Linked DNA regions of Pelodiscus sinensis. The protein of the gene in region 4 purifies or fractionates together with the protein of the main gene of each other region. This does not show direct contact. Links are inferred from orthologs where the notes say so. Each region holds a gene or a part of one and is shown on either strand. Other genes may lie near its edges. The genes, in order: RPAP2, MRGBP, ACTL6A and RUVBL2.

The links.
Region 1: the proteins of RUVBL2 (region 4) and RPAP2 purify together in Homo sapiens (affinity purification with mass spectrometry; 3 studies listed by BioGRID and IntAct, with this or other methods). This does not show direct contact. The link is inferred for Pelodiscus sinensis from reciprocal best matches to the Homo sapiens genes RUVBL2 and RPAP2.
Region 2: the proteins of RUVBL2 (region 4) and MRGBP purify together in Homo sapiens (co-immunoprecipitation; 5 studies listed by BioGRID and IntAct, counting the BioPlex papers as one, with this or other methods). This does not show direct contact. The link is inferred for Pelodiscus sinensis from reciprocal best matches to the Homo sapiens genes RUVBL2 and MRGBP.
Region 3: the proteins of RUVBL2 (region 4) and ACTL6A purify together in Homo sapiens (affinity purification with mass spectrometry; 11 studies listed by BioGRID and IntAct, with this or other methods). This does not show direct contact. The link is inferred for Pelodiscus sinensis from reciprocal best matches to the Homo sapiens genes RUVBL2 and ACTL6A.

Annotation. Positions count from the first base shown.
Region 1 is NC_134719.1:34,345,736-34,353,000, reverse strand, and holds the start of RPAP2 (putative RNA polymerase II subunit B1 CTD phosphatase RPAP2), read right to left. Parts: upstream 3,004-7,265; 5' UTR 2,920-3,003; coding exon 2,862-2,919; intron 2,835-2,861; exon of another isoform or gene 2,641-2,834; coding exon of another isoform or gene 2,637-2,640; intron 1-2,636. Other genes in the region: GLMN (glomulin), read left to right, coding at 6,241-6,306.
Region 2 is NC_134728.1:7,675,587-7,682,949, forward strand, and holds the start of MRGBP (MRG/MORF4L-binding protein), read right to left. Parts: upstream 3,007-7,363; 5' UTR 2,992-3,006; coding exon 2,817-2,991; intron 1,650-2,816; coding exon 1,528-1,649; intron 541-1,527; coding exon 459-540; intron 1-458.
Region 3 is NC_134720.1:44,787,369-44,794,200, reverse strand, and holds the start of ACTL6A (actin-like protein 6A), read right to left. Parts: upstream 3,005-6,832; 5' UTR 2,871-3,004; coding exon 2,846-2,870; intron 2,523-2,845; exon of another isoform or gene 2,427-2,522; intron 1,001-2,426; coding exon 924-1,000; intron 745-923; coding exon 570-744; intron 135-569; coding exon 34-134; intron 1-33.
Region 4 is NW_027465870.1:27,104-35,100, reverse strand, and holds the start of RUVBL2 (ruvB-like 2), read right to left. Parts: upstream 3,006-7,997; 5' UTR 2,909-3,005; coding exon 2,897-2,908; intron 2,802-2,896; coding exon 2,753-2,801; intron 2,360-2,752; coding exon 2,304-2,359; intron 2,102-2,303; coding exon 1,960-2,101; intron 1,656-1,959; coding exon 1,526-1,655; intron 1,250-1,525; coding exon 1,183-1,249; intron 466-1,182; coding exon 359-465; intron 215-358; coding exon 121-214; intron 22-120; coding exon 1-21. UniProt on the Homo sapiens protein: Possesses single-stranded DNA-stimulated ATPase and ATP-dependent DNA helicase (5' to 3') activity; hexamerization is thought to be critical for ATP hydrolysis and adjacent subunits in the ring-like structure contribute to the ATPase activity.

The DNA.
Region 1 (7,265 bases), on a different chromosome or scaffold from region 4:
GCACTGTTGCATTCAGAGCTAGGCCCTTGGTCAGCAGCCACCATTTTCTGGCTGCCCAGATCAGAAGGGTGCAGCACAGGAGTAGGGGTACCCTATTCTGTGCTACTGCTGGTGGGGCACTGCCTTCGGGGATGGGTGTCCGACCAGCAGCCACAGCTCTCCAGCCACTCAACTCTGAAGGCAGCAGTGAAGTAAAGGGTGGCAATACCAAAATCCCCCAGTCAATTACTTTGCCCCCCACCCATCCATCCATTTTTGGATCACAACCCTCAGATTGAGAAAGGCTGGGCTCTCCCTGGAAATCTGTGTAGTGGTGGTCACCAACCGATCGATTGCAATCAACTGGTGAATCCTGGGGAGTCTCCCAATTAATTACGATCAGCAAGCTTCCTGTTTACCCCGTCACCAGCCTGTTCCCAAAACTGGCAAGCATGGTCCTGTGTGTGAGGAGGGATAGGGAGGCAAGAGTCTCAGCATGCTACTCCTGCCGCCTGCATGCACTGCTTCAACTGGCCAGAAAAAGGGAACTATTGCATTAGCAGAGGGACAGCACACAGAGCCACGTGCTACCCACCCCCAAAAGTGTTCCCTGTAATCTGAGTGCTTGGGCAGTTGCCCAGGAGATTCAAATGCTGCTCCACTGATTAGCAGAGTGCCCACAGATGGTAGCATGTTTCTACTGGTGGTTCACAAACTCACATTCCTCAGGGTACATCATAACATTTATTTCACACACAGAAAAAATTAGTGTGAACATTGGCCCCCACCTCTGGGCGACAGGGGCACTTTGACCCCTCCCAGGAGTGCTGTGGACCCAGGACAAGCAGGGAGCCTGCCTTAGCCTCACTGTGCTGCTGCTTGGGACAATGACAAGTGCTGCCTGGTGGCAGGCCACATGCCAACCCCCAAACTCTTCCTGCACATCCCAAATCCTCTGCCCCAACCTGACCCTCCTTCCAGAGACAGCATCCCATATCTCCTGAATCACAGAACCATAGAGCTGGAAGAGACCTCAGAAGGTCATCAAGTCCAGCCCCCTGCTCTAGGAAGGACCAATTCCAACTAAATCAACCCAGCCAGGGCTTTGTCAAGCCGAGACTTAAACACCTCTAGGGATGGAGACTCCACTACTTCCCTAGGTAACCCATTCCAGGGCTTCACTACCCTCCTAGTGAAATAGTTTTTCCTAATATCCAACCTGGACTTCTCCCACCACAACTTGAGACCATTGCTCCTTGTTCTGCCATCTGTCACTACTGAGAACAGCCTCTCTCCATCCTCTTTGGAACCTCCCTTCAGGAAGTTGAAGGCTGCTATCAAATCCCCCCTCACTCTTCGCTTCTGCAGACTAAACAGATCCAACTCCCTCAGCCTCTCCTCTTAAGTCATATGCTCCAGCCCCCTAATCATTTTGGTTGCCCTCCGCTGGACCCTCTCCAGTGCGTCCACATCCTTTTTGTAGTGTGGTGGCCCCAGAACTGGACACAATACTCCAGATGTGGCCTCACCAAAGCCGAATAAAGGGGAATAATGACATCTCTGGATCTGCTGGCAATGTTCCTCTTAATGCAATCTAATATGCCAATAGCCTTCTTGGCTACAAGGGCACACTGTTGACTCATATCTAGCTTCTCATCCACTGTAACCCCCAGGTCCTTTTCTGCAGAACTACTACTTAACGGGCTGGTCCCCAGCTTGTAACTATGCTTGGGATTCTTCCGTCCCAAGTGCAGGACTCTGCACTTGTCCTTGTTGAACCTCATCAGATTTCTTGTGGCCCAATCCTTCAATTTGTCTAAGTAACTCTGGACCCTATCTCTGCCCTCAAGCGTATCTACCTCTCCCCCTAGCTTAGTGTCATCCACAAACTTGCTGAGGGTGCAATCCATCCCTTCATCCAGGTCATTAATAAAGATATTGAACAAAATCGGTCCTAGAACTGAACTTTGGGCCACTCCGCTAGAAACCGACTGCCATCCTGACATCTAGCCGTTGATCACTACCCGCTGGGCCCGGCCTTCTAGCCATCTTTCTATGCATCTTACTGTCCATTTGTCCAATCCACATTCTCTTAACTTGCTGGCAAGAATATTGTGGGCGACCGTATCAAAAGCCTTGCTAAAGTCAAGGAATATCACATCCACTGACTTTCCCATGTCCACCGAGCCAGTTACCTCATCATAGAAGCTGATCAGATTGGTCAGGTACGACTTGCCCTTTGTGAACCCTTGATGACTATTCCTAATCACTTTCCTCTCTTCCAAGTGCCTCAGATCCCAAACACCTCCTGCACTCCAAGCCTCAGCCCTGAGCTCCCTCCCAGGGCCAGCACCCCATCTCTCCTCCTGCACCCTCCAACCATCTCCTGTACCCCAAGCACCTGGCTCCAGCCCTGCCCCCTCTCCCAGAGCCAGAACCCATACGCCTCCTGTACCCTGAATCCGCCCCAGCTCTGAGCCCGCTCCCAGAGCCAGCACCTACAACACCCTGACCCCTCTCAGAGCCAGCACCCCAACACTGTCCCAGCCCAGAGCCCCCTCCCAAGCTTGCAGCTGAACCCCGTCTTGCACACCAGCGCCCTGCCCTAAGCTGGAATACCCCGGCCTAGGAATGGGCCCGCTGCTCATTCCGCTTACGCATGGTGCCGGCTCTGCTTCCCCCTCCGGGTACCCCAGCAATGCTCCAAACGGGGGGCGGAGGGGCGCACAACACGGCTACCTGCCCAGCACTACTCCCGTCCCCCTCCCCGGCTGGGACGATTGGGTCAGTCCCCTGCGTTGGGGTGGGGAGGACGAGCCCACTAGGCCGGGAAACGGGGGGTATGTTCGGGGGGGGGGGGAGGGGGATTGTACTGATCCTACCCGCGCGTCTCCGGCTGCCTCTCGCCTTCGCACCGACGCGCCGAAGTTCCGCCGCCATCGCCGCCCGCCCCGCCCCCCGCCTGACCTCTCACCCGCCGCGGCGCGAGGGGGGGGGAGGCGGAGCCTGAGAGGGGCACGCGGGGCTCGATCCGGAGCGGCCCTGTGCGGACGCACGCTAGGTAGGAGGCGGGCGCCGCGCAGTCCTCGCCCCCGCGTCCAAGGAGGGAGGCTCTGAGCCCCCTTGTGGGGCGGCTGCGACGGGGATAGTCCTCCCCCGGCGCGTTCTCTTGGGGGCGGGGTAACGAGGCTGGCCCGCTGCGCCCCACGCGGGGCTCCTCAGACAAGGTCCCGGGCGCCGGCTGAGACCAGCCCCCCTTGTTGGAGGCGTGGAGCTCGCAGCAGCCGTATTTACAGCCTCAGGCTGCGGGCTTTGCTGTGAGCCACGCGCCCGGTCTCCCTCTTCTTCTCCCCTCCTTCCGTGCGAAGCCGCTACAGCCTCTCCGCGACCTGCTTATTGGTTTGCTTTGAGAGACAGGAGGTGTGTTCTGTAGGCCCCGGGGTGTAGAGCAGCCTCCGACGTGACTCAGCGCATCAGTACTAATCCCATCGACTGTGCTAACCCTCGACTGGGAGGATCCCAGACATCAGTGGTTTCCAACCTTTTTACGCCCAAGATCACTTTTTAAATGCCAGGACAAGCCAAGATCTACCCCATCCCTTCCCCAAGACACCCTCCCCCCTTGAAGCCCTGCCCTCTCTGTTCTCTCTATCACTTGCTATCCTCAGCCCTTATACACCCTTGAAAGACTAGGTCTATACTGCAGGGCTGTGTCTACACTGCACCCCTTTTCCGGAAAAGGGATGCAGATGAGACAAGTCGGAATTGCAAATGAAGTGGGGGATTTAAATATGCCCCGCTTAGTTTGTATAAACATGGCTGCAGCTTTTTTCCGGCTCCGGGCTTTGCTGGAGAAAAGCGCCAGTCTAGACTGGATCTTTTGGAAAATAAAGCCTTTTCTGAAAGGTCCCTTATTCCTGATTTTAAGAGGAATAAGGGACCTTTCGGAAAAGGCTTTATGTTCCGAAAGATCCCATCTAGACTGGTGCTTTTCTCCGGCAAAGCCCAGAGCCGGAAAAAAGCGGCAGCCATGTTTATACAAACGAAGCGAGGGATATTTAAATCCCCCGCTTCATTTGCAATTCCGACTTGTCTCATCTGCATCCCTTTTCTGGAAAAGGGGTGCAGTGTAGACACAGCCCAGGGTTTTTGCACAAGAAGTTTTTTGAGGAAGAGTTCCCGTGCAAAAACTTGCGCAAGAGCGCGTCCACACCTCAAAATGCACTGCTTTTGCAATGAGCTTTTGGGCAAGAGAGCATCTACACGGCATGGACACTCTTGCGCAAGAAAGCACTGATGGCCATTCACAGAATGGCCATCAGAACACCTGTGCTTTTTCGGATTGGCTCTTTTTGTGCAAGAAACCCCTGCGGAATATCCACACATGCCTTTTTGCGCAAAAAGGAGATATTCCTCTTAGGAGGTATATCTGCACCGCAAAAAGTCATCTGTTCTGTCAATTGACTGTAGATTTTCTTGTGTAAAAACGTGCTTGAGGTGTGGACACTGCTGGTTTTTGCACAAAAAACGTAGTGTAGACGTAGCCTCAGGGCATACATAGAGCCTTGTAAATCTGTGGATGTCTGCTTTATAGTCACAGGTTTATTTGTGCTGATAGAGATGCAGATACAGATTTTATATCCACCCAGGGCTCTACCCACCCCTACAGCCTGTTTTCACCCAAGTATGGCTAATGGCAAGTGTTTGACAAAAGTGTATGGAGGATGCTAGGTGCTTCCATGCATTTAGAATACATTCTCCCTTTGATGCATTCTTCATTGGTGTTCAGATCCTATAAGAAGAAATCAAAATGGGTGGAAAAAAACATTCTTAATGAATGGTGTTTGCCAATTATAGCTAATATATAATTTTCTTTCATAATGACTTAAGGACCGGTACAGTTCCCACTGAAGTCAGGGAAATATATCACTGACTTAATCATGTGGGCCACATACGTGCAATGAGCTCAGAACCAGTACACTACGGAGCTCAGTATATGATTTGAGCCTTATTGATGATACCAAGTTACTTTGGGCCCCAAATAGGTAACACTGTACATTTGTTTTCAAACAAATTAAAGTAGTTCTGGGCAGTGTTTCTTCTAAACTGTGCAGCCTCATATCTTAACTGGTGATTAATCAGCCCCGCCCAGTCAAAAGCTCAGGGCTCCATGTGGAGCTGATTCACTGGGCAGGGCTGACTATTCACCTGTGAAACTGTGCTGCCTCGCAGCTTAGAGGGAACACTGATTCTGGGGGAATGTCGCCATTGCTCTTGCAGTGGTGCTAACTCAAACTCAAAAGTACATCTTAGTGCAGGGATGGGCAAGATGCCACCTGGGGCAGACTCTGCCCTGCTAAAACTTTGATCTGGCCCACAGACAGTGTCTGACAGTTTTCTATTTATATCTTGCTGTCCATGCCACCGAATTTTCAGGTGGTGGCTCGGACAGCAGGATCCTATTTAAATAGTGCCCAGTTGTGGCTCTTCTTCAGGGGCTGGAGCTATGAGCTCTGGTTACCAATACCCAACCATTGTGCCATTGCCATTGTGACCCCTTGGCAAAAATTATTGCCCATCCCTGTGCTAATGCAATGAGAACAGCAAAGTGAAACTGTCAAGTGTGGATTCACTGTCAAGTGTGGAAAACAGTGAAATAAAATGTAAGTAGGATTTCAGTATAATAAAAAGAAAATTAGTTTTCACATTCTTTTAGTTATCTCAATTCAGATTTGGATGTTTCAGTACTTGGGGACGCTCGGGGCAGAGCAGCTGGGGTGCTGGGTTGGTCCCGTAGCGCTGCTCCTTGGTGCTGCCGGACCATCCCGGCAGCACCCCAGCTGCTCTGCCCCAGACTTCTCCAAGTCAGCCGCTGCTGAAACTGACCAGCGGCTGACTCCGGGGAAGAGCACCCCAGCTGCTCTGCCCCGGGCTTCCCAGATTATCAGAAGTTTACTGTAGTTGGACAGTTCCCCTCTTTAGATATAGTTTTCATGCTCTTTCCTGTCTCCTATAAACAAGCAATAGCAGTGCCTGCACAGGAGATGGAATGAAAAAATACCCTGCATTTTTTAACTCTTTTCTCTTCTGTTTTGTCTCATGTTCTTTTATGCAGCCTCCTTAATTTCTGTAAGATGTTTTACCACTTGGGACTTGCTAAAATGTGATAATTTTTTAATCTCCATTTTAAATCCAGTATAATATTGAATATAATATAGTTGTGACTCATTACTATACTCTAAATTATGATAGAGCTTTTCAATGTCAGAAGAACAAAATCAGGATACAATGGCAACTGAGGAGCTTCAAGCCGTTATACAACGATGTGTAAGTAACTTCCTTTCTGTAAAAATATACTAACTGTTAGAGAAACTGGCATTGCCTAAATTTGTGTGCACAGACATATCTGTTTGAGCAGCTGGGGAGAGGTAAATCTCTGGGGAAAGGGGTGCCTGGGGATGCCCTGGCTTCCCAGGGATGTTTGTCTCAGCTGGGTGGGCTGGGAGGGAAGAAAGAGGATGAAGACAGAGTTTCCCCTGCCCAGACCAGTTGGGTCTGTGTCAAATCAACCCCAGAAACTACTCTAAGCTGCAGGTAGCTCTGCACTGCTGGTGGGAAGGGGCCTGTCTGAGTGGGAATTCTAGGTGTGGGGTGGTAAGGCTCAGTGCGGGTTTTGAGTGTGTGTGTTTGGGGGAGAGATCTGGATGCATGGGGTTGGATAGACGGGGGAGCAGCTTCCTGTTCAGTGATCAGTCTTCCCATCCATGCGCCTGGAACCCCTAATTGAACCCCTGCCTTGCACCCAGAACCTCTCTACCAAGACCCCCCAACTTCCACCCTGCTGATTTCCATCCCCTGCATGAGCAGCCCCTCACACTTGGACCTCATTGAGCTCCAACCAGCTACACCCTGACCCTCTCAACCTTATCAAACCCTGTACCCCCAGACTCTCACTGATCCCTAACTACCTTCACCTGGACTTCCTTGCAGTGTCCCATTCTCTCTTCACCCAGAGCCCTGCATCAAGTTGTCTGCACCCCGATTGCACCACCCAGAATATATTTTCAAAAAATTCTTCTAAGTTCTGCATATTTTATTTATCAAAATAATGCAGAAATACAATAACAACATAATTACACCATGTTTAATTATTTTGGTAATATATTACAAAATAAATTAAAATATTAATTTTTCAGAATTTAAAATTTTTTGTTCAGAATTTTTACAGGAAGCCCTGCCTTACCATGGCCTGAGTTGCGACCCCCAGCACTTATGACCATTTTTGT
Region 2 (7,363 bases), on a different chromosome or scaffold from region 4:
TTCACCTGCAATAGAACTGCAGCTATTCAGTGTAAATAAAACTCTTGTAACAATTGCCTTATGAAACTTAATCAGTAACACAGTCTTACTAAAACATTCAAATCACCTAACCCCCAAAAGAATAAACCTTTAACTACTTGCATATAATTCCCAAGGACCGGATTTTGACCTCCCTGCTGCACATAGCACCCTTCCCCACCCTCCCCACCTCAGTAAGTGGAAGACGCGCATACTCTGCCAAAGGGAGATTTTGATAGAATGTGTTATCAAAAATCCCATCTACATTAAACTTTTTACTATTTTACCTCTCCCTGATTATTACACAATCCAATGATGTGACACACCAGCGTCAGCCTAGTACATCATTACTTCTTCCCTTCTTCTGGAGTTCAAGTTGCCTAATCATGCCTAGAACTTGATCAGAGCATTGCAACATAAAAGCTAGCATCAGATCTCACCTTCTTTCACTTCTTGGATAATTTCCTCAGGCAGGATGAAATTTTTCTCTGAATTAGGGAAGGGCAGAATCTCAGATTCATGCTTAAGAAAAAAAGTAAAATGTCTTTAGTGTGATTTTATTATAACTATCAGCTCAGATTTCCTAAACAAATGCCAAGTAATTTCATATACAGGTTGGACCTCCGTTCCGGCACCCTTGGGACCTGACTGGTCCCGGATGAGGGATTTTGCCAGACTAGGGGATGTCATATTTGTCCCCCGTTATCAGGCCCCTCCTCCCCCAGCCCTGGACCAGCTGCCCTCCTTTCCCACCAGCCTTGTTGCACTGCTAGCCCTCCCCCTCCCTATTCCCTGCTAAGCCAGGCAGCCCAGCTCCCTGCACACCAGACTCCAGGACATGCCCGGGAAGCCCCACTGCAGCACACCAGATTCCTGGATGTGCCGGGGAGTCCCACTGAAGTGTGCCAGGCTCCTGGAAGCTTCTTGCAGCCACACTGCAGCGCGCCGGGCTCCTGGACACACCAGGCAGTCCCGCTGGGTTGTACCAAGCAGCCCAGCTGTGGGGATCCCAGCCACCAGCCTTCCACCGGGACTCTCTGGTCCTGGAACATCCATGGTCCAGAGAGTCCCGATTAACAGAGGTTCAACCTGTACAGGAAAAGGCCAAATAATTCGTAATAGGATATCTCAGTCTGTCATCAGAAGTCCCATAAGGGTTACCAGAGGACAAGATACAGAATATGAGGGTGACTGTCCACTTCTTGAAAATGCTTGAACTTTGTGTGTGTCAGTAGGACTATTTGCACATATAAAGTTAAGCATTCAAAGTATTTACTGGATCAGGGCCTACAGAGAAATTTTACATCAAAGCAAGTGCATAAGAGGGAAGAAATACGGGACTTGATTTTCCTCTCTCCTATACTAGTTTTACACAGGTGAAAGTCCACTGACCTCACAAAAGTCACCTAATTTACACCAATGTAAGAATTAGGCCCAACACATATGACATCAAAGCTGTTGACATCTACTGGAAATCAGAATTCCTTAATGCCAGTTTTCTATACTCACTAGTGCTTGCATGTCATACATGGTACTCAAATGGTCCCAAATCACTCTGGAGGAAATCTGTCGTCCAATATTCTGACTGAATTTGTCTCGGATACAAATCATGTGAAAGTGGCGATTCACACCTGAAGGAAGGAAGTTAGAGCCATCAGCGACATTTCCTGAGAGGCATGTGCATCACCTCACTGAGTAAGGGTGTGTCTAGACTACAGAGTTTTGTCGACAAAAGTGGACTTTTGTCGACAAAACTATACCTGCGTCTACACTACCGCTGAGTTCTGTCGACATAACGTCGACAGAACTCAGCAGTTTTGTCCACGCTGGTAAACCTCATTTTACGAGGCATAACGCCTTCTGTCGACAGAGTTCTGTCGACAGAAGGCGTTATTGAATGTAAACTGTCCTTGCGTCTACACTGCCATGTCGACCAAGCAGTTTGCTTTGTCGACAGAACTGAATGTCGTGTAGACGCTCTTTGTCGACAGAAGCTTTGTCGACAGTATCTGTCGACAAAACTCTGTAGTCTAGACGTACCCTGAGTTAAGTGACTGCACCAGATTCTGTGCAGATCTAATAATTAAAATCTTGGCTGGGACCACAGGGTCTTCTCCCATTTTTAGGGCACAGACACAGCTAAGCCAGAGGCAATGAATCCTGAAAGCTGCAACCAAGTAATTCTGAAAGGGGAGAGGGAGCAACAAAAAGTCAACAAGCCTGCTTGTGGATTGTTTCACTTGCACCTAACATGCCCCAAGAGATGTCCTGCCAACAGCAGAAGGGGAGAAGACCCCACACCCTTTCCCCCCACACTTCCTCGCACTCCCTCCTAGCCAGGCAGAGCAAGGGAAAGAAAAGCCCAGCAGTGGGCCCCTGCCTCGCTACATTTCCCCAATATTCAAAATTCCTGCCCGACCCCTATTTTTGCAACTAAAAATCCCTACCCGCGGGGGCAGGTCCGGCCAATAAGAAAACATAATGGAACCTGCCCCCCCCCCCCCCCCGGGAATCCGGCCCTGGGGGGCGGTGGGGGCAGCGACCACAGGCAGGAAAAGCCGCCCGGCCCCGCAGCCACTGGCCCCAGCTCCTGGAGCGGCAGGGCCCCCGGGGGCTGGAGTCCTGGCTGCGGGGAGGGGGGGAGGGGCTCGGATTCGGGGGGGGGGGGGGTATGAGCGGCACCTCCCCCACCCCGACGCTGCCCGCGGGAGCCACTCGGGGCGGCCCGCCCACTCCCGGGTCTCCTCCCGGCAGGCGCCGCTACTCGAGGCCGGGGCTCGGCCGCGGCCTGCTCTCACCGACGGGCTTGTGGCCCAGCATGGCGTGGAAGAGGCAGACCTCCACCTCGGGGCTCCACACCACCGCCTCCTCGGCCGGCGCGCCGGGCTCCGGGGCCGCCGCGGGCACGGGGGGCTTCTCCGCCACCGCGCCGCCGCCGCCGCCGCCGGCCGAGCCGCCCTCCGCCTCGCCCATCGCCCCGCGCCGCCGCTCTGTGCAGCGCCGCCGCGCCCCCTGGCGGCCGCCCCGAGCCCTGCAGCGGGGGCTCAGGGGCTGCCCCCCCCACCATTGGCGCCCCCTGGCGGCCGCCCCGAGCCCTGCAGCGGGGGCTCAGGAGCTGCCCCGAATCATTGGCGCCCCCTGGCGGCCGCCCCGAGCCCTGCAGCCAGGGGCTCAGGGGCTGCCCCCCCACCATTGGCGCCCCTTGGCGGTCGCCCCGAGCCCTGCAGCGGGGGCTCAGGGGCTGCCCCCCCACGATTGGCGCCCCCTGGCGGCCGCCCCGAGCCCTGCAGCGGGGGCTCAGGAGCTGCCCCGAATCATTGGCGCCCCCTGGCGGCCGCCCCGAGCCCTGCAGCCAGGGGCTCAGGGGCTGCCCCCCCACCATTGGCGCCCCTTGGCGGCCGCCCCGAGCCCTGCAGCGGGGGCTCAGGAGCTGCCCCGAATCATTGGCGCCCCCTGGCGGCCGCCCCGAGCCCTGCAGCCAGGGGCTCAGGGGCTGCCCCCCCACCATTGGCGCCCCCTGGCGGTCGCCCCGAGCCCTGCAGCGGGGGCTCAGGGGCTGCCCCCCCACCATTGGCGCCCCCTGGCGGCTGCCCCGAGCCCTGCAGCCAGGGGCTCAGGGGCTGCCCCCCACCATTGGCGCCCCCTGGCGGCCGCCCCGAACACTGCAGCGGGGGCTCAGGGGCTGCCCCCCCCACCATTGGCGCCCCCTGGCGGCCGCCCCGAACCAAGCAGTGGGGGCTCAAGCGGCTGCTCCCTGCCCCCTCAGTCCTGGCGGCCGCCCCGAGCCCTGCAGCGGGGGCTCAGTGGCTGCCCCTCACCATTGGCACCCCCTGGCGGCCGCCGCGAGTCCTGTAGTGGGGGCTCAAGCGGCTTCCTCTTCGCCTTAGCACCTCGTGGCGGCCACCCCAAAATTCCTGCAGTAGGTGCCTAGTGCCTGCACATCCACCCTGGCCTTGTCCCTGTAGTGCTGTGGTTCTCAACTGGTGGTCCATGGTGCCTTTTTCGGTGGGCCACAGGAACATTGTCGAAAATCACAAGGTGTGGGCAGGCACCAAAAATCTGTTAGTAAGAAATAAATTTCAAACCAAACTGTTCGTTGTCTGCTCTTTTTTATCATGTCTCAAAAAGGAGGAAAATTTTTTGATTGGCCTGGTGGTCCGTGGACTGAAACGAGTTGAGAACCACTGCTGTAGTGGGGTCCAGTGGCTGCTCCCTACCCCTCAGCCCTGACGCCCCCTGGCAGCCACCCTGATCCCTGCAGTAGGTGCCCAGCACCTGTACATCTGCCCCTTAGCCCCGGTACACTCTGGCAGCTACCCTGATCCCTATTGTGGGTTCCCAATAGGGATGTTAAATTTCATGTAATCAACTAGTCGATTAGTCAATAAGCTGGGGAGCTGCAGTGGGGATAGCTCCTGGCTTCGGGAACTAACTGCACTGTGGCTCTGCCATTTAAATGTATTAAGAGCCTATTGGCTCTTCTTTATACATTTAAAAGGCTGAAGCAGAGCTGGGGGACCCAGTGTGACCCAAGTCAGCTGATTCCCAGCTCGTGTTAGGTCCCTCCCCACTGTGCACCAACCTTAAATGTAAAAAGGCTGGAGCACAGTGGGGAGACCAAGTGTGAGCAGGGAATCAGCTGTCTCAGCTCGCTCCAGGTCTTCCCGCTTCACTTCTGATTTTTAAATGTATAAAGAACTGGCAGGCTCTTAATACATTTAAAAAGCAGAGGCGCAGCATCTGGGACTGGGTGCAAGCCAGGAATAAGCTCATTCCTGGCTCGTGCCCAGTCCCGGCAAACCCGCTGCCTCCCTTGCCCCCTGCAGAGACGATGCTGTGGGGAATTGGCTTTTAAGCTGACTCATCCCAGCACCAGCTCCCGCTCCCCCTCCTTTGCTGCCTCTGATGGGATGTGGGGGGGGGGAAGGAAGCAACAAGTTGAGGGACTAGTCAACTAGTTCCCAGTGGCCACCCCTCAGCCTTGGCATCCCCTGGTGGCTGCTAGGATTGCCAGATACCTACACAAAAAATCCTGAACAGGCAGGGAAGAATTGGTTGAGCAAAAAAAAAAAAAAAAAGGTCACTGCGCTTTTAAATTACCGTGTTCCTCTCCCCTAGCAGATGCCACCAGCCATCTTTTTGCGGAAAAAAAAAAAGGCCTCTGCGCCTTTAAATTACTGTGCTCTTCCCTTCCCCCGCCCTCCCAGATGCCACCAGCCATCCATCTGAGGAAAAGAGAAAATACTGAATACTAGGTGCACAGGAAAAAAAAATTCACAGCCATGCCATGAGCAATGTAGCAAGGTCCATCTAATTTTAAGTGCAGAGCAGGCCTCAGTCTGTCTCTTTGCAAATCTGTAAGCTGGGGATAATTAATAGTTTACCTCTAAGCCCACGTAGCGTGCTAATGGATTTAATACAAAATAAGTTTCCTATAGCTTTTCTGAACCATCCTAAAGATTTTATTGTACAAAATTCTCTGTCTTCAATAGGTTGGTACAAGGACATCTATCGATAGAGAATGAGAACCTATTAAATTCTGCAATTTTTTCAAGTACAGGCAGTCCCCGGGTTATGTACAAGATAGGGACTGTAGGTTTGTTCTTAAGTTGAATCTGTATGTAAGTCGGAACTGGCATCCAGATTCAGCCACTGCTGAAACTGACCAGTGGCTGACTACTGGAAGCCCGAGGCAGAGTTGCTCTGCCCCGGGCTTCCTGGAATCAGCCGCTGATCAGTTTCAACAGAATGAATCTGGACGCCAGTTCTTACATACAGATTCAACTTAAGAACCCCAGGCGTCCCCAAGTCAGCTGCTGCTGAAACTGATCAGTGGCTGATTCCAGGAAGCCCGGAGCAGAGCAACTCTGCCTTGGACTTCCTGTAGTCAGCGCTGGTCAGTTTCAGCAGCGGCTGACTTGGGGACACCTGGGGCAGAGCAGCTGGGGTGCTGCCGGGTTGGTCCAGTAGTGCCCAGAGCGGAGCTACGGGACCAACCAGCAGCGCCCCAGCTGCTGTACCATAGGCGTCCGGAGCAAAGCCGCGGAGCACAGGGGCAGCGGGACAGCCCAGACGCGCCGCGGCTGTCCCGCTGCCGGCGTCCTCAGAGGCTTTGCTCCCCATCTCCCTGGTCTGCTGGTCTCCAGCAGACCAGGGAGACGGGGAGCAAAGCCACGGCGCACACGGGCAGCGGACAGCCCAGACGCGCCGCGGTTGTCCCGCTGCCGGCGTCCTCCGAGGCTTTGCTCCCCGTCTCCCTGGTCTGCTGGTCTCCAGCAGACCAGGAGCAAACCCTGTTCATAACTGCGGATCCGACATAAGTCGGATCCGCGTAACTCGGGGACTGCCTGTAGTTTCTATAGAAGCCTACATTTCTAAAGAACCCTGAAGAGTTCATCCCTATTATATCTATCAGATGTTTTGGAAAGGGGCAAGATATTTATGTTATTTGTATTGCTATAGAACAGAGAGGTCCCAGTTGAAGGTATTGGTGCTAGGTGCTATGCACATACTTAGTAAGAGACAGTCCCATCACTAAAGAGCATACATTCTAGCTAGGCAAGACAGATGAAGGATGGAAGGTGAAACAGAAAAGGGAAGTGACTTGTTCAAGATCGCAATGCAGGTCAGTGGCAAAGGTGGGAATAGAGTCCAGTTCTCTAGAGCCTCAAGCCAATACTGTCCTAACTAGACCACTCTGCTTAAAATGAAGGAACTGCTAAGCTCCTGAGAACTTTGAAAAGGGAGGTCACTGTTGCCTCCTGAGACAGTTGTTACCCAAAACATTCCATTCAGAAAAAAATGTGATAATATATTATCCCTTCTGTGTTGCCTTTTTTCCTTTTTATTATTAAGCATACATGCATGAAACAGTCTCTCTGTTGCTTAGTGATCATGTATTCCTGCTGCTTATTTCTCTCTTAAAATCTTAATCCTCTCTGTGGCATTAAAATAATGTTCACAGCAAATAACTTTGGTCACAAACACAGGATTACTATTTCACATGAATAGTAAACAGCAGGAACAGAAATTCACAAGCACAGAGGCCCTAGTAAATTACCCTAGTAACAAAAACTAGGAAGGAAAAAACTTACGAGTTTCTCATTGAAAGTATTCCATATTAGAAAGGTTCAGTTTCTTTACATGTTCGCTGTCTTCTTGTCAAGACTTATCCAACCCAACTAACCCTTCTTACAGTGGCGACTGATGTTCTATACATACCTAAAAGAGGTTAAATGGTTAAATAAAATGTTTAGAGATGGGTCAAAACCAGAATCTCAAATCTAAACTCTTTTGAATACTGGGTTTTGGATTTGAACCCCTGAACCCACGTTCTCATTTCAGT
Region 3 (6,832 bases), on a different chromosome or scaffold from region 4:
AAATTTCAAAGAAGGAAATATGCTTTTACTCACTGGTGCTTCTGACATTAGGACCGGGTGCAAACTTGCTTCAGATTTAATGTGCATCTTGTATGTGTGATCCAAAATTGCCTGGAAACTGTCCCAGTCCTCAACTGTAACAATGACGTTTAGACAATATTATTCCATTTTCAAAAAGAGACATAGTTAATTGAGTCATCTAAAAACATAACTTTAAAACACATAGATCAACCATCTCCTGAACAACAGTCTTAAAAATTCACACACTTCAGCAGCTCCATAAAGTTCTATGCTGCTTACCAATTACATTCGTCCCCTTCTTTTTCCCCCACCACCGTTATCAGGTGGGACCCATTCCAGCTCATTACATGGAGGAAAGTCTCTATAGTTCTTCCTCAGATCAGACCTCATAATTAAAACCATTTTAAATACAACATTTCATTTTTGGACCAAGAGTATTAATGAAAATTGAATATATTTTTTTGCCCGTGACAGATAAAACTTTGCAGCTGAATATAAAGTTAGTGATCAGATTTTAAGAACAAGAAGAAAAAGACAGAGCACCATACTCATTCCATTTTTTAAGGGTGAAATAGCCTCCATGTTTTCCCTTGGAACTCGCAGTGCATTGGTGTCTATATAGTAAGTAGGACCTCCTTGTTTTCCTTTGTCACCATCTATTTCCATCAAGGTGCTGCCATCATCCCTTTCCAGTACCACACCAATAGCAGTGGGAAAGTCAACCTGCAATGTAAAATATGGACCAGGTATGGCAACTGCAGAGTGGGCATTTGTTTATTCACTTATAACAAAGTACTGTTTTCATTTCAGCTATACATTTAAAAAAAATGTCTACAAATTCAAAACTTGTTCAGTGGTTCGTAGAATACGTAAAAAAACCATTTAATCACAATGACTCTTACCTTTGGACAATCCTCACCAGCATAGCCAGCTCTCACTGTATAGGAACCAATATCGAAAACAAGAGCCCCAACTTCATCTGTAAGGATTAGAAGTAAATAGGCAGGCAATAAAATCTCTGTGCTTATCAGCAAAAACATACAAGCCAACACACTTTTTGTTAAACGTGAGTGCAAACCACCATCGCAACTTTTAACCAGGATTTAAAGCTGGCAAAGAACAAAATATTTTCAATTGAAAATATTAATTGCAGAAAAATTACCCCAAAAAAGCCATTGTATTTTAAGTAAATAACCAATAAAACAGTACTTTCATTCAAAATTAGGGATGCAAAATCCCTGTTAAGCAGGCAGGGGACTGCACCAGTCCACCAGTTAACCATAACTGGTAAAGTGATTTTCAGAATGTGTTATGATTTACTCACAAAGTTATACTTCCCCCTACACTTCCCTGGATTATTAGAAATTAAACAGGAAAATAATTAGAATTAGATGTGACAGTCTATAACACAGATGTTTAAGAAATACATCCATTCCCTTAAGTACTGATCTGTAAAGAGACTCCATATGGGCTCAACGGGGTCAGGACCCTAGCAAAATTATTAATAATACTAATTATTATTATTATTTTGGTAGCACTGTTTACAGGAGATGCTCTGGTGCAAGATCTTGGCTTCCAAATATATCTTTCGATGGCGTGCTAACCTGAATTTCCCACCAAAGTAACAGCACCAAATGTTGCCTTACACCATTAATCTGCCTTACAGATCTAACAAACGGAAAAGGCCACAATGAAATTTACCAAAGACAGAAACTAAGAAAATACAGGACTATGTAGTTGAAGCAAAATGCAGGACAATGTAGCACTTTAAAGACTAACAAGATGGTTTATTAGATGATGAGCTTTCATGGGCCAGACCCACTTCCTCAGATCAAATAGTGGAAGAAAGTAGTCACAACCATATATACCAAAGGATACAATTAAAAAAATGAACAAATATGAAAAGGACAAATCACATTGCAGAACAGGAGGGGGATGCGGGGGGGGGGGGGGAGGAAGGAAGGTAAGTGTCTGTGAATTGATGATATTAGAGGTAGGGAGAGCGGGATGTTTGTGGACTATGTAGCACTTTAAAGACTAACAAGATGGTTTATTAGATGATGAGCTTTCGTGGTCTAATCATCATCTAATAAACCATCTTGTTAGTCTTTAAAGTGCTACAAAGTCCTGTATTTTGTTTCAGCTACACCAGACTAACACGGCTACATTTCTATCACTATTCTAGAAACTAAGACGACCTTCAAACTAGTTAGACCTTCCACTTTAATGAAAACTTGCAAGGTATACTGAAGGGAAGCACTGTGTGTTTCCGACCGCAGCTGAGTGGAGTTGTTAGCTTTGATGGGAAGAACGATGCTGGTGGTGTTCATGGGTGGAGCATTACAGCTGTATCTTAGCAACGCTGTCACTTTATGGACCAGAAGAGCAGCAAATAACTGGGGAGGGGAAGAAGCGCAGGGAGCGGCAGCAAATCGATTGCAAGGAAGCTCAAGGCTTGGGAACGTGGCCGGATTACGCGGGGCTGCATGGGAAGCTCCTGGGTAGGGGGAAGCGGCATCAGCACACGCACAAATAATGGACAGACTAGAGCACATGCCTGTAGGGGGAGGGGGTGGGAGATGCAGCAGGCCTGTGGGGGCTCGGAGGAGGAGGGGGGGCAGCTAGGGGAAGCCTCGTGTGGAACAGCCCTGGGCGAGGCGGGGGCTGGGGGAGGCCCGTGAGGGGCAGCAGGGGCTCGGAGGTGCTGGGGGGCAGCAGGCAGGCGCTGGGGGGGGGGGGGGCAGAGAGGCCCGTGGGGAACGGTCGTGGGGGGCAGCAGGCAGGGGCTGGGGGGGGTTCACAGGCGGGGGGGGCGGGCACTCACCTCCCCCGTACACCCCGCCGCTCATGGCTGCCGCCGGGCCTGTCTCGCGCCCCGCTCCCGGCAGCCCCCGCTAACTACTTTCGCTGACAATAGCGAGCGCGAGTCTCCGGCCCGCGCTCACTCGCCCCGCCGGCTCAACCGAACTTGCTGCTGCTTTCCCCTCAGACCAACAGAGCGCGCCGGCCGGCCCCCGCAACCCCGAGAGCGGGCGGCCAATCGTGGCCAGCAGGGGGCGGGCCGAGACAGCGGGAAACCTATCCCTGTCAAGAAAAAGAGTGAAGGAAGCAAGTATGGTTGCAGTGTGCAGGGTCAGCGGAGGTTGGGGTTGGGGGACGGGGCAAGGAATTGATTGACATGGGGGTAGGTGGGGCTGAGGGTGTGGAGGCTGGGTCTAGGGAGGGATGTTTGGGGGCCGGGGAAGGGTGTTATGGGGCTGGCTGGGGGTTAGGAAGGAACTTGGGGGGCTGGTTAGGGTGCTATGGGGTTGGCTGCTGTTGGGGGTTAGGGAGAGACTTGGGGGGAGGCTGGGGCTTGTGGGCCAGCAAGGGATGCTTTGAGACTGTAGTTAGGGAGACAAAAAACAGGCCTATGCAGCACTTTAAAGACTAACAAGATGGTTTATTAGGTGATGAGCTTTCATGGGCCAGACCCACTTCCTCAGATCAAATAGTGGAAGAAAATTGTCACAACCATATATACCAAAGGATACAATTAAAAAAATGAACACATATGAAAAGGACAAATTAAACAATCTTGTTAGTCTTTAAAGTGCTACATAGTCCTGTTTTTTGTTTCAGCTACACTAGACTAACACGGCTACATTTCTATCACTAGTTAGGGAGAGGCATTTTAGGGTGGGAAGTTAGGTGGGGTATTTTGGGGCAGGATGGTGCAGGGAGCCTAGAAAAAGGTATTTTGGGATTGCCTTAAGTAAGGGGTTGAGAACTGGCCAAACCTGATCTTCATCAGGGTAACAAAAGGCCCGAGGGGAAAAATGCAAAAAAGAAAGTGTTTTTGCAGTGTTGGGATGCTCTTGGGATACCCTGAACAGTAAGCTGCTGAGTTACCTCTCTGCCTCAGCAAAAGAACGTCACTGGAGTTCAAAGGACATGAGTTAGGTCTTTGCCACACCAGGTGTCACCAGTAACACTGCTTACCTTTCCTTTATCTTGCAGGTAACCTTGAAAACCAGTTCTCAAGTTCCCCCAAGCTGTTTTTCTGTAGTGTCCATTCTCTATTCACAGAAATTACTAAATTTGCTTTCTCCAAAGAGACAGAATGCATACCAGCCTGTTAATGCAGCTGAAGATATATGCCTGTAACAGCACAGAGATGTAAGTGATAGTAACTATGAAAAAGAGAGATTAAGAAGAGATGTAAGTGATAGTAACTAGGAAAAGAGAGACTAGTATGTTACAGATACAAACAAAACAAAATAATGTGCTAGTGATTAAAGTCTAACTTTAGCAAGTTACAAACTTTGCCTAAGCAGCTCACTTGAATCAAACTTCTGAGTACCTTTCCTAGGCCTGGAAATTAGTTCTGTGTAGACTTGAAAAAAGTCTTTCATCATCTCCAGCTGGCTTAATAAAACCCACCTTGTCACTCTAATAAAACATGCATGACATTTTACAGAGTTCAGTGCTTGCTACTCTACCATCAATATCCCTTTCTCAAGTACCCCTCCCAATCCAGTTTACCTCCCTTCCTGAGTCTTCTTTCTTCTGTTGCTCCCTGTTCTCCTTTTCCAATGGAATAAAATCTGTATAAGCCCCTGTCAATTTTGTACCTTCCCACCACCCCCTATATCCTCCCAACCCAGTGATGGTCCCTTGGCATCTCAAACTTCCTGCCTCAAAATCTGGATATTGGGCTGAGCTCATCTGATTCCCTCCTTTCCCCTGCTTGTTACTAAACTGCCATCCTCACTGGATTGTTCTGGCAGAGAAAGAAGGGGTGGGAGATGTTAGTATCTGCCCTGGCATTTGGCCAGTAAAGCCATAGAACACAGCACAGAGAGCTAGAAAACAAAGTTAGGAAGGACTAAGTAGTGAGCAGGGAAGTGGAATGGGGTGGAGGAGGGAAAACAGGAAATTGATGAAAAGGAAAAGGGACTTGGAGAGTTCAGGAGCCAGAGAACTAGATAGGTAGATCTGCCTAAAATTCCAAGTGTCCAATCCCATGATTTGCATAATATTGACCATTGAGAAATCTTAAACTGGTTGATTAGGGCCTTTGTAGAATAATTAATGCCATTTTTCAAAGTTACATAGAGCACATAGCTAATTTTTGCATCCTAATACAAAGATCAGATACTGGCTAACCACAGATCATATGTAAAATACATAAGGCTGAATACTCTTTTCACATACGTGTGCACTGTTCTTATTGATTTTGGTGGAAGTTCTGATTTTGGTGGAAAAGTATGTGAGGGTGATATGTCTCATATTTAAATCTCTCCTTTAAAATCACTTCCTTGGCTATCCTTCATTGAGTGATATTTAATTCATTCATACATTTAGAAACAATAGTATGAAAGTAAGAGATCCAAGAAAACTGTAAGCTTCATTTTGTAGAGGAAACTGAGCCTCAAAGGATGCTGTTAGCTCTTCTTTTGCTAACCCCACCTTTTCAAAGTACACTGCCATTTGATTATATTTTCTGCCTGATTCTAGATTGTAAGTGCCTTGAGGCAAGGATCTTGGACCTTGTTCAGATCTCATTTATACTAGGGTAAATTCAGAGTAACTTCACTTTGTTTGTAGAGTTATTTAAAAATTACACCAGTGTAACTGAGAGCAGGACTTAGTCCATTCTCTTTATATTTCCCTGTAAAGTGCTTTTTTATATTTCTTGCACTGTATAAATAAAACATAGTTTATTTATGTAGAAATATAACTTTTTAAATGTTTTAATATGCGTCTCTTGACCTTTTGCCCTGAGGAAAACATTAGAGCTGTGGTGGGCAATATGTGGCCTGTGGGCTGTACCTGGCACATCAGAATACTCCACTAGGGGCTGCGAGACATGTTGCTGATGTAGCCCCTCCTGTCCGCTATCCCAGTATGAGGTTATTCAACATAGGGGAAGCTGTGTGACTTTTTACACAACTCTGGGAGACTAGGCCTGAGGCTCCTTTGTGCATTCTCCATCACGTGTCAGTGTGTGTGCTCTTCAGACCAGACCCACTCAGACAAACCACCAGGAACAGGCTTAATTCTGTAAAGTACGAAGAACAGGATTACAGTACAGCAGCCTCTTCTCTGCTTGCAGCTTACGTGTTGCCAGCTCAGTCAGTGCTGAGGCCCTGCTGGGAGGCAGAGGGTACATCATGGCAGGAACCAGGAAGTTCTCCAACATGTCATAGTTTATAGTCTACAGCTTTTAGTTCCAAGGGCTGCTCCTGAAGCACACTGGACCTTGGGCTACACCAGTGTTGACTATCTGCATGCACAGGCTCCCCAACCCCGTGTGGCCATGGTTTGCTGTTCCTGGCCAATGGGAGCTGCGGGATGCAGGGACATGCTGGCCACTGCTTCTTGCAGGTACCATTGGCCAGGAATGACAAACTGTGGCCATTGGGAGCTTCGAGGGACTGTGCCTGCAAAGGGTCAAATCAACAAAATGTCTCGTGTGCTGCCAGTGAATAATGCTGATTGACCATGTGTAGATCACAGGCCGCAGGTTGCCCACTACTGCATTAGAGGGTACATGTGCACAAACATAGAAGATCTATAGCACAGCTGTGGCTGGCCCAGGTCAGCTGTCTTGTGCTTGTGGGGCTCAGGTTATGAGATGAAAAATTGTTGCATGAATGTTCGAGCTGGAGCCTAATCCCTGGGAATCTGAGCCCCAACATCTACATAGTGATTTTGACCCCTACAGCCAAGGTCAGTTGACCTAGGCCAGCCACTGATGTTTTTTCCTGTACAGACTTACCCAGAGTGGCATGAAACTTAATTATCATAAACTACTTAGTACTAACGC
Region 4 (7,997 bases):
CGGACACTGCACAAACTTGGTCTGGGGGAAGGGACAACTCAGATCCCGTCCCCCTCAGTCTCCCACTGCCCCCCCCCCTGCATTTCCCAATGGGTGGGGGGCTCAGAGCCCAGCACGTACCTGGGCGCCCATAGCGTCATAGTCGCGCGCCCGGGTGAAGGAGCGCCCCAGCTTGCTGATCTTGCCGGTGGCTTTGTCAATGGTGATGACGTCCCTGCAGGGAGAGGTGTGGTCAGCTTTGGGGGGGAGGGGTGGTCACAGCCCAGGCCGGTGAGAACACTGGGCCATTGTATGGACGCCTCCAGTGGAGCCACAACTCCCACAGGGCCCCCTCCCTACCCGTCAGCCCCCCACTCACCCCGCCTGCACTTTCTCCTTGGTCAGCGACTCGATCATCTTGCTGCCCAGGTCGTAGATCGTTTCCATCTCCGTGGTCTTCAGCGTCAGCTTCCCCACCTTGGCGCCCTGCGTACGGGGGTAGGGTGTGTGGTCAGACCCCCCTCCCCCACTGTCCCTGGCAGAGAGCAAGTGGGGGGATGGGCACTGGCCCACCGGCCATGGGCAGGCTTGCTGGGGGCTGGAGTAGAGAATGGGAGGTTCCCATTCTGGGGGGAGGGGGGGGGGGAAGAGGCCAGTTCCTGCAGAGGGGAGGCAGGGAATGGGGGCTAAGTTCACCCTAAGCTGTGTGGCCACGGGGCAGCCTTCTAACCCCCCGGTGCAGGGGCTCAGGGCCTTAGAGCTGCCACGGTGGGCAGACACACGCCCCGCACCTGGCCCGGAGCTGCGGCAGTGAGAAAGGCCTGGCAGAGCCTGTACCCAAAACCCCTCAGCCCCAGCCCCACCACGGATCCCACACCCCCAGCCAGAGCCTGCTCCCACCCGCCGAACCCTTTGGCCCCAGCCCGGCCAGACTGTCCACGCCCAGAATGAACGTGACGTGCGCCATGATGGAGGGGATGGGCCAGTCGCCACCTGCTCGCACACGTAACATTCACTCTGCACGTGGACATCACAAGTGAGGGACCGGTGAGAGGGAGGGGCGTGTTCGGGGGGGGGGCAGGGAATGGGAGGGGACCTGTTCTGAGGGGCACAAGATGGGGGCAGGAGCATGGCAGTGCCAGCCAAGCCAGTTGTCTTGTCCCCAGCCAGCCAGCCCCACCACCCTGCCCCCGCCCTACTCACGGTGCCGGTGGCTGGGCGGTCGATCTGGATCTCCACCACCTCCCCCTCAATGATCTCGGTCTCCTCCCTGTGGCGAAGGAGAGGGCCAAGCTCAGTCCTCCCCCCACATCTTGCCAGTGGCTCCCTGGGACACAGGAACAGCTTCCCCAATCGCCCCCCATGGGCAGGCAGCTCTGTGCCCACTATGGCACCCGCCTGGCTCCCAGCCCTGCTGCTCTACCCACCCCCCTCCCAGAGCCAGCACGAGAACCCCACAGCCCAGGCTCCCAAGCCCCTGCTGTTACCCCCCAGCCCCCCCCACCAGTGCTGAGCCAGAACCCTGGGGTCCAGGCCCGCCCCTCACTTGATGCGCACGCCGATGGAGCGCCGAAAGGCCTGGGTCAGCGCCTCAGTCTTGCTCATCTCCAGGGAGAAGATCTCGCTGCCCGCGATGGCCGTGAAGGGCGTGTCCAGCCCCAGTGCCTGCGCCATGCCTGGGGGGCAGGGGGGACCTAGTTACACGGGGGGAGAGGCAAGCCGAGGATCCCTGCTCCTGAGCCACCACTCAGGGCAGGGCAACTCCCTCGAAGGGTCCAGCCATCTACAGCAGAGTGCCAGGGTGGGAGGGATTCCCAGGCAGGGAGAGGGGGCGGATTCCCTGGGTGCGGGGCAGACACCCCGTGAGAGCATTCCTCGGATGGGGCAGGGACTCTAAGGAAGGGGTGGGTGCGTGTGATGGGGATTCCTGGATGGGGGGGGAGCCGGCAAGGAGGGACTCCAGTGCCCTGAGCGCGGTACCCATGGCGATGGCCGTCTTGCCGGTGCCCGGTTGGCCAGCGATGAGGACGGCCCGGCCGGCGATCTTCCCTTCCTTGATCATCTCCAGGATGACGCCTGCGGCGCGCCGGGCAGCCAGCTGGCCCACCATGCCCTGCGAGACCTGGGGAGAGACAGGGTGGGTGCTGGCAAGGGGGGGTCCGGCCAGCCCCCCCCCCGCCCCCCCGCCCCACACCCACAGACCCGCCCTTCTACCCCAGTCACGTGCAGCCTCCCCCCATAGGGGACCCCCCCTTCCTGCCAGACCTGCCCAGCTCCACCCCCCCAAGGCGCCCGCCCCCCACTCAGCCCCCCCCCCCCGGTACCTGTCTGGGCTCCAGCGCATCGTCCAGGCCCAGCCCGCGGATGTGGGAGTGGGCGCCTGGGGACAGAGGGGAGGCACCGTCAGCTGCTGCCCCGCCCCGCGCGCCCCTCGCCCCGCCCCCCCGCTGCTGCCCCGCCCCGCGCGCCCCTCGCCCCGCCCCCCCGCTGCTGCCCCGCCCCGCGCGCCCCTCGCCCCGCCCCCCGCTGCTGCCCCGCCCCCCGCGCCCCGCCCCCCGCTGCTGCCCCACCCCTCGCCCCGCCCCCCGCTGCTGCCCCGCCCCCCGCGCCCCTCGCCCCGCCCCCCGCTGCTGCCCCGCCCCGCGCGCCCCTCGCCCCGCCCCCCGCTGCTGCCCCGCCCCTCGCCCCGCCCCCCGCTGCTGCCCCGCTCCTCGCCCCGCACGAGGGGCGCCCCGTTGCCATGGAGACCGAGCCGGGCCCGGGGGGGACTCACCGATGCGCTCGATGCGCGTCACGTCGCGAACCTCGGGCACCTTCGTGCTCTGCGGAGAGACAGAGACCGGTCAGGGAGGGCGGGGGGGGGGAGCGCGCGGGGGGGGCCCGGGGGGGCCCGGGGGGGCGGGGCGGCCGCGCTCACCGCCGTTGCCATGTTGCTCGGAGACCGCAGCGAGCCGCCGGCGCGGACCGGAAACCGGAAGTGGCCCGTCGCCGCCACGCGCTGAGCGGAGGGAGCCGCTCCCGCCGCCGCTCGATGGCCCGCGGTCCTCCAGCCCCGCCCCCTCCCTGGCCCCGCCCCCCGACTCTGGCCCCGCCCCTCTCCCTGCCCTGCCTGGCGGCCCCTTCCTCACTCCGCCCCGCCCCGCCCCGCCCGCCACTTCCTCCCGCCCCGCGCCCCTCCCTAGGAATTGGTGACACTTCCCCTTTAAGACCTTGAAGCACGTACCGTCCCCTCCCCCACGTGTCCCTCCCCCGCCGGGCACCGGCCACGTTAGCCAATCAGAGCCCTCGGGCGCCTGCGGGCTCCACTCAGAATCAGGCGGCGCGCATGGGGCGGGGCGGCGCGCAGGCCACGCCCCTGGTGGGCGGGGCTCCGGTGCAGCAGAGCCCGGCGGGGGAGGGGCGGGGTCAGTCTGAGAGCAGCGCTGCGAAGTGGCTGGAGGCGCTGGGGGGAGGTGAGTTGGGGGGGGGGACTCCGCGAGCCCCGCATGTTCCCCCCGCCCCCTCTCCACCCAGGCCCCCCCTCTGCATCCAGCCCCCCCTGCATCCAGCCCCCCATCTCCCTCCAGCCCCCCTGCATCCAGCCCCCATCTCATCCAGCCCCCCTGCATCCAGCCCCCATCTCCCCCAGACCCCCTCTCCTGCATCCAGCCCCCATCTCATCCAGCCCCCCATCTCCCTCCAACCCCCCCTGCATCCAGCCCCCCATCTCCCCCAGACCCCCTCTCCTGCATCCAGCCCCCATCTCATCCAGCCCCCCCTGCATCCAGCCCCCCATCTCCCTCCAGCCCCCCCTGCATCCAGCCCCCCATCTCCCTCCAGACCCCATCTTCCTCCAACCCCCCCTGCATCCAGCCCCCATCTCATCCAGCCCCCCTGCATCCAGCCCCCCATCTCCCTCCAGCCCCCCTGCATCCAGCCCCCATCTCATCCAGCCCCCCTGCATCCAGCCCCCCATCTCCCTCCAGCCCCCCTGCATCCAGCCCCCCATCTCCCTCCAGCCCCCCTGCATCCAGCCCCCATCTCATCCAGCCCCCCATCTCCCTCCAACCCCCCCTGCATCCAGCCCCCATCTCATCCAGCCCCCCTGCATCCAGCCCCCCATCTCCCTCCAGACCCCATCTCCCTCCAACCCCCCCTGCATCCAGCCCCCATCTCATCCAGCCCCCCTGCATCCAGCCCCCCATCTCCCTCCAGCCCCCCTGCATCCAGCCCCCCATCTCCCTCCAGCCCCCCGGCATCCAGCCCCCATCTCATCCAGCCCCCCATCTCCCTCCAACCCCCCCTGCATCCAGCCCCCATCTCATCCAGCCCCCCCTGCATCCAGCCCCCCATCTCCCCCCCAGCCCCTCATCTCCCTCAACCCTCCTCCCCTGCATCCAGCCCCCATCTCCCCCCCAGCCCCTCATCTCCCTCGACCCTCCTCCCCTGCATCCAGCCCCCCATCTCCCTCCAGCCCCCCTCCCCTGCATCTAATTCCCCTAGGCCCTCCCCTGCATCCAATCCCTCATCTCCCTCCAGACTCCCCCTCCCCCTCCCCTGCATCCGGCCCCCATATCCCCCCAGCCCTCCCTCCCCTGCATCCAGCCCCCCATGTCCCCCCACCCCCCTTACCTGCATCCAGCCCCTCATGTACTCTCGAGTCCCCTCACTTGAATCCAGCCCCCCATGCACTCCCCAGTCCCCTTACCTGCACCGTGCCCCCATGTCCCTGCCAGCCCCTCCCCCCACCCCATGTCCTGCCCCATATCTTCCCCAGGCCCGGATGTTCCTCCCAGCCCCCTACATTGCATGTCTCCCAGTCCCTTCTTCTGCATCCAACTCCCCATGTCCCTCCCAGCCCCATTCTCCCTCCAATCCTCCATGGGCCGTCCAGCCCCCTTCCCCTTTTACCTCCCCTATTCCAGCCCCCTTATGGGCTCCTTACTGCCGTCTCCCAGCCCCCAACCAGCCACGGCTCTGCCCCCTCTTTCCTGTGGGTCTGGTAGGTGGGGGTGTCCCAGGCCTGGACTCCCCTCCTGTGAGCCTGTGCTGCAGAGTAGCAAGGCTGTGACCCCCTGTCTGTCCCCCCAGCCCAGCACCCGGACCTGGCTCCTGCAGCGCTGCCCCCCAGCCTCAGCCGCAATGCCCCTGGCTCGCAGCCTCTCCGTCACCTCCCTGACGGGGCTGGAGGACTGGGAGGATGAGATTGACCTGGAGAACGCCATCCTCTTCGAGGTGGCCTGGGAGGTGGCCAACAAGGGTGAGCTAGATGCCTGAATTCTCTCCGGGGTCAACATCAGCCCTGGCTCTGGCGGGCGGGGCTGGGAGCCAGGACTCCTGGGTTCTGCCCTGGCTCTGGGAAGGGAGTAAGGGCTAGTGGTTAGAGGCGGGCGGGGCTGGGAGCCAGGACTCCTGGGTTCTGCCCTGGCTCTGGGAAGGGAGTAAGGGCTAGTGGTTAGAGGCGGGAGGGGCTGGGAGCCAGGACTCCTGGGTTCTGCCCTGGCTCTGGGAAGGGAGTAAGGGCAAGTGGTTAGAGGCGGGAGGGGCTGGGAGCCAGGACTCCTGGGTTCTGCCCTGGCTCTGGGAAGGGAGTAAGGGCTAGTGGTTAGAGGCGGGCGGGGCTGGGAGCCAGGACTCCTGGGTTCTGCCCTAGCTCCAGTAGGGGGGGTGGGGCCCAGCGGCAGTCAGGCTGGGAGCCTGGGAGGTCGGGTTGTGAGCTGCTGGGGGCAGAGCGTAGTGACCTATGGGGTACGTGCCCTCTGGGGTGGAGGCAGGAGCATTAAGCCTGGGGGGACGAGCAGGGGGCAGGGCAACGGGGGTCTGACTCAGTGCCCCTGCTGTGGGCACGGGGCAGAGATGGGCCCGTCCCAGCTCGGCCCCCCTGCCGGCACCGGGGCCTTAGGGCCATCACTGCTAGTTGGGGGATGCCGGGCTGAAGGGATGGGGTAGGGATCAGTGGGAGGTGCTATGTCCTGACAGACTGCCCCCTTCCTAGCCCCCCTCCTTCAGTGGGGCACGAGGGGTGCTGGTCTGGGGGGGCGGACCAGGGGATCAACAGAAGGCAGTATATTGCTGGCCCCCGTGCAGCGCCAGGGGGCGGTATCTGTGGGGTGTCCTGTCCTAAACTCTTTTGGGCCTGCTCTACGGGGCCTCCCGGGCGAGGGGTCCCCGTATCCTCAGCCCCCACCCTACACAGAGGCCCAAGTCCTGACGTTGGGGGGCTGAGTGGAGCCGGTCTGAGCTGGGGGGGCATTGTGCAGTGGGGGGTAGGGGCAGGCTAGGAGCGAGGGGGAGCCGGGCTAGGGGTACAGACCGGGAAGGTTTGACAGTGGCGGGGGGGAGAGGGGTTGCCGGTTTTGGGACCTGGGGAGGCTGAAAGCCCTGCTGGGGTGTGGGGCAAGGGAGTCAGGGAGGGGCCCTGCAGCTGGGGGCCCCACGATGCACTGGGGCTGTGGTCTGCCTAGGCCGGTGCCTCGAGGGGGCGGGGTCTGTATCGAGGGGGTCCCCGCCCCCTGGGCAGTGGGGTGGAGGTCCGGCGAGGGGGGGGGCCAGGCAAAGAGGCGAGGGTCCATGGGGGTGCCAGAGGCTGTGTCTAACCCCTCCCCCCCGCAGTGGGGGGTATCTACACGGTGCTGCAGACCAAGGCCAAGATCACGGCGGACGAGTGGGGGGAGAATTACTTCCTGATGGGGCCCTACCTGGAGCAGAACGTGCGCACCCAGGTGGAGCTCATCGAGCCCCCCCACCCCGCCGTGCGGCGCACCATCGACTCCATGAACGCCAAGGGCTGCAAGGTGCGAGCTGCAGAGGGGGAGGGGGCACGGAGGGGGTCCCAGGATGCCAGCCCCTGCGAGGGGAGGGACGGGGCCCACGAGTGCGGGGCGCCAGCCCGTCCGTGCAAGGGGAGGCCTTGCACGCTTAGCGCACCAACCGGGGGAGGGGCCTCCTTGCCCTGAGGGGGAGGGGCCTAAAGTGACCCTGTTGCTCCTCCTGATCCAAGGGGAGCCCCCACCCACCTCTGCATCCGGGTCCCCCTCTTCTTGATCTGAATGATTCTTCCACCTGCCCTCCTGAGCCGGGGAGTGAACCCCGGTGCCCTGGCTCCCAGCCTCTTGCTCTAACCACTAGGCCCCGCTCCCGGAGCCCTGATCCCGCTGTGCACCCAGAAATCCTGTCCCCTATTAGAACAGTCCCCGGTGTTTTGGGGGCAGCTCGTTTCTCCCCCCCTCCCTCCCCAGCAGGCACCATGGGGATGCCAAGCCCCCTCCCCTTGGCCCGGTGCCCCGAGGGGGCTATCTTTAGCAGCCAGGCTCACGTTGCTCCCCAGCAAAGGTCACCCCCCCCCACGTGTTGTTTTTCTCTGGTGCTCAAAATATCTGCCCTGAAGTTCCCTCTAACCTGGCGGGGGGGGGGGGGGGGGCGCTGGGGCTGGGGCTGGGGCTGGGGCTGGAGCGGATGGGGGGAGGGCTACGTGAGGGGGCAGGAATGGGCTAACAGCATCCAGGCCCCAACGCTGTTCTTGGGGGGACTTCCCCAAGGGGACAGATGGGGTCCCAGCTGGGAGTGTGCGGGGCAGGGGCTTGGTGCATGTCCGGGGGCCCCTGGGGAAGCGGGTTTGGGGTCTTGTGGTCGGGGTCCCGGAGGGGGCTGGGAGCTCCGTCTCACCCCGGCCCCCCCAGGTGTACTTCGGGCGCTGGCTCATCGAGGGGGGCCCCTACGTGGTGCTGCTGGACGTGGGGGCCACAGCGTGGAGCCTGGACCGCTGGAAGACGGAGCTGTGGGACAGCTGCACCATCGGGGTGCCCTGGTACGACCGGGAGGCCAACGACGCCGTGCTCTTCGGCTTCCTCACCGCCTGGTTCCTGGGCGAGGTGCGTGGGGGGGGGGGGGGTTACCCTGAGTCCCCGACTGACCCAGTGCCCCTGAGCCCGGCCCAGCCCTGCCCTCGATGCTTGATGACCAGTCACAGAACCCAGGCGTCCTGGCTCCCAGCCCCCCGCTGTAGCCACTAGTCATCACTGCTCCCCCAGAGCTGGGGA